2 linked regions of the Oreochromis niloticus genome follow. The protein of the gene in region 2 purifies or fractionates together with the protein of the main gene of each other region. This does not show direct contact. Links are inferred from orthologs where the notes say so. Each region holds a gene or a part of one and is shown on either strand. Other genes may lie near its edges.

Region 1 (3,922 bases), about 4.1 Mb from region 2:
TCACAAGGTTTGGTTCTCAACTACATGAATATTGCACTTGAAGTGCAACAGGCATCAGCTTATGAAGAAATAATTTACCACAGTTAGTGGCCAATCTTTATCTTTTGTCACATCAACTTTTCACCAGCTGAAAGAGCTTGAGAAAGGCTTAAAAGTGACAGTTATTCTTTTTTCTTTTTTATAACAGGAATCCGTTTCCTGGCACAAACATCTGGAGGGTTAAATAACAAAATAAATAAATACCAGGATCGGTTTCTTACTTTAAACAGTGTTGGCCCAACATGCCACAATGTGTGGATTCTTTGTTTTAAAGGCTGCTGTTTGGGTGGAAAAAAACAAAACAAAAACCCCCCACTAAAGACTACTTCCTGATTAGTCATAATAACCTCATTACAAGCGACGGCTTCTCAAACCATCTTCTCGGAACTTTCTCCAGGAAGTACAGCTGTCATAAATACTTAACATCCAAATATGATAAAAACCAGATCCACTTCATACAACTTGACAATAACAGTGTTTTATGTTTTCTAAAGATAAAAGTTGTACTGTTTTCTATACACTCTGGAAAAATCATGATTGGAAATTACAACAGGTAAAATACAGAATACTTAGCATAAGCTTGATCACACTTTATAATACTATTTTACTTGCAATCAGATTGTGTTTAATTTGAAATCCTATTTGTGCTAAAACTTCCATTTACTTTTTTTAACTTTAAGTGTAAAATGTATACACTACATATAGTTCACATGACAGATTGACCGCAAAAACAGAGCATTTCATTTTTGACTGACATGTTAGGCATGTCAGTGAAACAAGGCAGTAATGGAGCCACGACTTTGGAGTCTTATCAAACAACAATGTACTGCCAAGAGTTTATAATACTATAAACAGGGAATTTTATATCACAAGAAGATATTATTCCATCATTTGTCACAACAGGTCAACTGTTTAAATTTGGCACTTAAGTTACAGTGAAATCTATCATAAATCTATCATTGCATACATTTGATTGGGCCAACAGAACTCCATTTCCTATGTACAGTACTCTCTGCTCTGTGAATGAAGCCCTCTCACTGACTCTACTGACAGGGCTGCACTCATTTCCTTTTTCACTTTGGATTGGTGTTAGTCCAAAGGTGACCTTTAATTTATACAACCCAACAAGCAGCAGTGATTGCACGCAAAGTCTGACTCTACAGTGTAAACCATTTTGCTTTTCTTATGTAGGGAATAGCAAATAATTGTTCTGCTTCTTTCCCCACCTGACGATGGCAGGCTGGCTCTGGGCAGTTGTCCTGACTCCCTCCTCAATGTACTCCTGGTATTTTGAACAGGCAGCTGTGTGGCTTCTCATCTTAGAAAGCCCAACCTAATTGGGGGAGGAGTGACACATATCAGTAACTTCCAGTATATGACCATCATCATAAAATTGTTGCTATTATCTAAATATAAAGACAGAAATTTAGACACAGCAAAATATTAAGATTATGCATGTGCAGTTATTGAATATTCACCCTCTGTGACTGCTTCATAAATGTGAGTCAGTTCAGCAATATTTTAGCTTTTGGACTTTAGTGAAACATACCTGTGTGCCACATCCCTTACAGGCTGCCACAGAAGATTGAATGAGTGCCTCGAGTTGAGCAGCTCTAGTCCAGTGGCCTGGAGCGCCTCGACATACAGCACACACAGGTTTCTGTGGACGCAGACATTCCTGCAAACAACTGTGGCAAAACCTGTCAAGAGATGGGTGAAATAATGTGACTGCTGCACAAGATAAATCAACTAAATTGTCACTTTTAATTTGGGCTCTGGTAACCTGAGGCTTTAAAAAAAAAATTATTAAAAAACAAGACAAAAACATGCAGCAACTCTGTTTACATTAACGCATGGCCTGCAATGAGAAAAAAACCCCAAATGCTGTCACTAAAACAAACCTTTATTATGCTAGTGACTGGACCTTCCTGTAACTCATATGGAAAGTCCCCCACCTCGAGAATAGCCAGGGACTTGTAGTTCTTTAAAGTGGTTTGAAGAGTTAGAGCAATACACATCCAAACTACAACTCCCAAGTGAGGCCTCCTTTTTGATGTAAACAAAACTGAAACTGATTTAGCAAGCTGGAACTGTTTTTGTCACATATTCGAGAGAGAAAAATAGAAAAAACGGGGTCGTAGCACTAGAAGACACTCGCGAGGCCGATATTTTGCAACTCTGGTGCGACGACATATTTAAAGTGAAGCCCTTTCCTCCATTGTTTTTGCCTCTTTTCACTGCATCGTTGGTGGCAGACGAGGGTTAGGGGGAGGGCGATGGAAAATAAACGGCAAAAATACTCACGTATGTCCACACTGTGTTGTCACGGGACTGTCGAATATTTCGAGGCAAACTGGACAGACGAATTCGGACACGTCGTTGCTCCCGTCCGAGGCGTTCTTCTTGTGAGGTGCTGCGCTAAAGCCTCCGAGCATCGCCATTTCTTTTCTTCACTGAGTCGGTTCCACCACCAGCACCAACCGTCCCCGTGACGACGTCATCGGGTTCTTGTTCTTTTTTAAGCGCGAGGGGGCGGGGTCACCGGCGAAAGTAAACATCGTAACACATAATTGTACGACATACTTACTAAATCTGTGACACCCCCCCCTCCCACTAGATATCGAAACCCCCCAGAGACATTCAAAATATTACAATATATAGTTATTCAAATAAATCTGAATTATTCGGGCACTAATACAACGAAAAAGCAGGAAATCCACACCACTAAATGTATACCTTCGGCAAATCATTATGAACCCGGGAAATCTGTCTCTGCGCGCACGCGAGCCTATATGTATATATATATTTTTTTACCCATGCAAAACAAAAACAAAAATGAATGAAGACTGGGGATGATGTATTTGGGGGTCTGTATCCCGTCTTCCCTAGCACGTGGGCTCCTGATGCTGATGAACTGTCAGGATTGAGCGCATGCGTGTTGTTATACTGGGAATTTCCAACAGCTGAGGAGGCGTAGCTAGCCATGACTAGCACTTGTTAAAGGTAAGATTTGCGAATGCTGTTATTTTTGTTTGAACAAACGTCTTGATCTCCTAGTGGGAGCCCATTAACATTTGATCCCAAAAGAACATCACCTTAAAAATTCGCTGTGTCTTGTTATTTTATTTTAAACTGGCGAATAATGTCTGTGTAGCGATGGAACGCCCTGCTAACCAAAAGCAATTGTTAGCTAGCCAGCTACGCTGAAATGGGCGTTCACTGTTTAGCTTCTACTCAGTAGGGAGGCCATAGCAGTGGCAGCATCGGGTTTGAGAGTCATGAAGAATTAATGTATACGTTCTAGGAGTATTACTTTATATTGCCATTGGTCACGGTGGACTAAATTTGTTGTAGTAGATACGCAGTTGTAAAGCATGCGTCTGGCTAAGGCTCATTGGTTGCTAGCTCGTTGAGCGGATGTTCGCAGAGATTTTCAGGTAACAGGTATAGCCAGCCAGCCAGCTTGCAAGAATCTGAGAGCGAAATGTTTGCTCTCCTGTTGTTCAAGCCTCGTACTATTTTCACGATGTGTTTATGAGTTTTGAGTTGAAGCTAAGCTAGGCTAGGTTAGCGCCACTCTGGTTTACACGCATGTAGTACCAATAGCTGAAACGTTCACTGGCGCAAACGTGTGAGAGGGATGTATACATCAGTAATGAGTTCCTCTCTTGCTTATTTAAGCTATAATTCCACTGGCCTTTTTCTTGGTTATGTACATTGTAAAACAAACAATTTTTTAAAAAAAAAAGCCCTTTCACTATGTGATAGACAAAAAACCCACCCACCCAAACGAATCCATCTTCACATCTCTGAGTACAGAGATGGTCCTGGATTAGTGTATCTTCCCTCTTATCTGAACCTCTAGATATTTCAAAACATGCTT
Region 2 (3,922 bases):
AGGGAGGTAGGCCACACGGTCTGTTCCTGGGTACCGCACACCCGGGTTGGGATGTTCTGGCTATTAAGAGTTAAAGTGTGATGAGCTTATAAACGCATAAATGGCTTTAAACAATCAAATGCCTCAGTTCTGCGGCACTGCTACACATCCAGGTCTTGTATTTTTAGGCATATTTAACACAGGAGGAGTGTGTTTGCAAGTGTGTTTTTTATATAATCTATTACAGCTACTTTGTCATTTTGACAGTTTCTTCAACCCAGGATAGATTTTAGGAAACAATAAAGACAATCTTGAACCTTAATTTTGATAAGAGATAAGGCACCTGTGACACATTCTACCCCTTCTACTTGGCGTCTGTTTCCTGGGAAGGGAAACTCCACAAAAGGTTTATTTTTTCAGGGGAATTCCGACATTGACACCTGTTTAAAAAACAGTGTGGAAACCAACTTTCGTTGTCAACAGATGTTTTCTCAGCTTAAGTTTGACGTTTAAACAGTAAGACACAGAAAAGCTGAATACAATCTAGCGTGACAGGGTTTGGAGAGATTATGACCCTTATTTTGTAGATTATTGTGTGTCCTTAGAATAACCTTTTAAGGTTAATGAACTTCCCTCTGGAAACTGTAAATTTGTGGCTACATTAAAGGTCAAAGTCAAACAGCAAGGCATCAGTCATGACAGAAAGAGTAAATATACGTGGTCAAACTGAGGAGAGAGACTGTCATCATATGTGCAGTATGATTTATTTTATGCCAAAGTAAGACTCTCTTACATAAATACACTCCTATTCTTAATTATTCACTGGAATTCTAATGATTAACAATGTTTAACAATCTGAATTATAAATCCAACAAATTTCTTTACACACACAAAAACGATTACTAAAACTTTTTCCCCTGTGTTGCATCTACTGTCCTCGTCTACTCACCGACTGTAAGCCAGGAGGGAAGCTGTAGATGATGCAGATACACCCATAGCCTTCATGGCCAGGAAGCTCCAGATCAGGATCTCGTTCTACAATCATTGAGCCATTGGCAGGCTGATTCCCAATCAGCTGCCCATACACGAGCCGACAGACGGGACACGCTTTCTTCACTTTAAAGGCTTGATCCAGGCAAGAGCGACAGAAAGAATGGCCACATTTTTCCAGGGTAGTCTTCTCCACTATGTCCCCCATGCAGATCGAGCAAGTATTACTGTCCTCGGTTTCACCGTGGGAAGCCATGCCGGAGTCCACGTCTTTCCTCTGGGCAGCCTCGTGGAGCATGACGCACGCCTCCTCGTCAACAGGCTTCTTGAACCTCTGCTGCTGTCTCTGGGAGCGCCGAGGCTGGGGAGGTGGAGGCTGGAGCAGGCTCCCCTCTCCGTTCTGCTCCAGGACTCCCACACAGGGCAGCAGAGCCCTCTTCCTCTTGGATCCCCCCTCCTGTTTGCTCATTTCTTTGCGGGCACAACGGCATAAGTCAATGAAAGCTTTTCGCGTCTCGCTGGAGATGGGTCCATCCATCACACCAGCCCCAACGCTCCTCGAGCCTTCCACCGGCTGCAGCCGAACAGCACAGCAGCCCCCCCTCTCTCCTCGCCTAATGATACCAGCACTCATCCCCTGCTTGTGCTGGAAGTCAATGAGCCAGGGCCGCCCAGCTGCAGTCAGGTAATCCCACACTGCCTGTGAAACCAGCACCTCATCACTGCCCTGGCCAGCACTCACACTCATCTCATCAGAGGAAACTGCACAGAGAGGCACATGAAAGTCATCAGTGTTTGAGCAGCAGAAGCAAGTTCAAACAAAAAGTGTTGCACCACGCTTTTTCATAAGCATTCATCTTTTAATGAGACACGGCCGCAGGAGTCTTTTCACCTGTGCTGTTTTGTGCTTTTCTATATAATTTAGGCGCTCAGGCACACGCACATAAAACCACCATAGCACTCGCTGTGTTTTGCCTGCAGTGTATCTGTGCATGACAAATTAATCTACGTCTATTTGCAGCGGCTGCAGCGCATCCAGAAAGAAACACATAAGAAGCAGCGTCGCGGCACTGCTGAGGACGTATCAGCTGTTCCCAAATTCAGACTGTAAACAAAGGAAACTTAATCCCGTCACACGCGCGACAACACGAGGGGAAAAAAGCCCACTGACAGCGGGGGCCACACGCAACAAAAACACTTGAGAGTGACACTTGTTTTGTGGTGAAAGGGTTACCTTGTGATCCCATAAATTCCTTCAATCGCGAATAAAGCTTCCTGTTGAACAGAGAAAGAGAGGAAGACAGACTGAAGCACTGGAATAAACGTAATCACAGCTGTTCGCCGATATTTACACTGAGCCATTCTCCACCGCGGCGGCAGCGATATCGCAACATTAGCTTAGCCTCGCACATATTTAGCTTGAACATTTAGCTAGCCTAAGTGTCTCCACCACCCTCACCACACCAACCCCTCCACCTCGATCATTTCGACACCTCACCCTTTGCCGTAGCTCGTCGCTGCCTGTCAGGGAGGTTTCTGGTTGGATTAAAGAGCACCGAGCTCCATCGGAGGAGGCCTGTGTTGTTATTATTTATTGTTGTTGTTATGTCTGACGTGCTGCTGCAGTTAAGCTAATCTTTTTGCAGTCAAGACATGATTCACATCTCTGAAGGATTTAAAACGGACGTTCCCCAAACCCTGCGCCTCCTCTTGTCAGTCACGCCTGTGTTTGCCTTCCTCATACGTCCTTGGCGTAACACAGAGTAAATAGCATCTGTAGTTGCTCTTCTTATCAGGCTCCGAGCACACTAGCCGTGTGACCGCCTTTTACAGTCAGATAATTTGTTTCTCCTCTTCATTCTGCCCGCCTGTGTGTGAGCTTTCTAATGTAACCGTGCCCTTTCTGTTGAGCGCGTGGCAGCAAACATTATTAAGGACCTACGAGAAAATGTGACCAGGAAGCTCGTCACTAAGCTGACATGATTGGCTGACAAATGGTGGTTGGTGTGTGTGTGTTTAATAATGTGATTCATTCTGTAATGTCATGATTATCAGCTTTTATGCTAACAGAAGAATACATGGAACATAACAGCTTCTATGTGATATTTTATTTATTAATGTCACAGTTTAGAATGTTCCATATCCTACAAATAACAATGCTGATATCTGTCTACTTATCTATCTAATCTAACTGGATATCTTATCCAGTTTAGGGTAGTAACACTGTTCACATATGCACCAGTAACAACATATTATTTGGAACATGGCCATCATTTACTATTCATCCTGTGGTTACTAAACCATGCAAAGGTCTTTAGCCATCCTTCATGTGTTTATATTTTTTATCTACGAAAATAAATGGCAAATAGATCATATTTATTAATGTGCTTATTAGAACAGCTATTTTATTACCAATATCAAAACATTAATTGTAATAAGGTTAATAATAAGGTTAATGTAATAAGGTTACACGTTTATCTTTTACTTGCCTGTGTTTATAATTTTTCTGAACAATAACCAAGATCTGAGATCAGGGTTGCATTAATGGGAAATGACAGTAATCCGCCATCATCTTGTCATGAATTAACTCTGTCCTTAATGAGGCAGCAACACGGAGCCTGTTAAAGGAATTATTAGCCCTTACAGAGAGGAAAAGATAAAGCACCTCTCTTCCCGCAGAGATGACTGAGGAGATACACAACATTAAACGTCTGTTCATTTTCATTACAACACTTTCTTGCCAATTTATCAGTTAAACAGCTATTGAGTCTATAGATATCAATCAGCATCTGTTCGTGGAACGGGAATATAAAACAACAGTTTCCTATTCACTGTGATAATAAAGGTTTCCTTTTAGACTAAATATGTCTTATAAAATACAGCACAGTATTATTAACTAATAAAAGTCAGCCCTTTGACATTTCTCTTATTCAATATAATTTTTACTTGTTTT

What was found.
Region 1: the proteins of dtx3 (region 2) and rnf114 purify together in Homo sapiens (affinity purification with mass spectrometry; 3 studies listed by BioGRID and IntAct, counting the BioPlex papers as one, with this or other methods). This does not show direct contact. The link is inferred for Oreochromis niloticus from reciprocal best matches to the Homo sapiens genes DTX3 and RNF114.

The regions. Positions count from the first base shown.
Region 1 is NC_031984.2:16,330,886-16,334,807, reverse strand, and holds the start of rnf114 (E3 ubiquitin-protein ligase RNF114), read right to left. Parts: upstream 2,553-3,922; 5' UTR 2,481-2,552; coding exon 2,344-2,480; intron 1,740-2,343; coding exon 1,589-1,739; intron 1,373-1,588; coding exon 1,266-1,372; intron 1-1,265. UniProt on the Homo sapiens protein: E3 ubiquitin-protein ligase that promotes the ubiquitination of various substrates. In turn, participates in the regulation of many biological processes including cell cycle, apoptosis, osteoclastogenesis as well as innate or adaptive immunity.
Region 2 is NC_031984.2:20,417,167-20,421,088, forward strand, and holds the start of dtx3 (putative E3 ubiquitin-protein ligase DTX3), read right to left. Parts: upstream 2,936-3,922; 5' UTR 2,468-2,935; intron 2,245-2,467; 5' UTR 2,217-2,244; coding exon 2,204-2,216; intron 1,732-2,203; coding exon 929-1,731; intron 61-928; coding exon 1-60. UniProt on the Homo sapiens protein: Regulator of Notch signaling, a signaling pathway involved in cell-cell communications that regulates a broad spectrum of cell-fate determinations.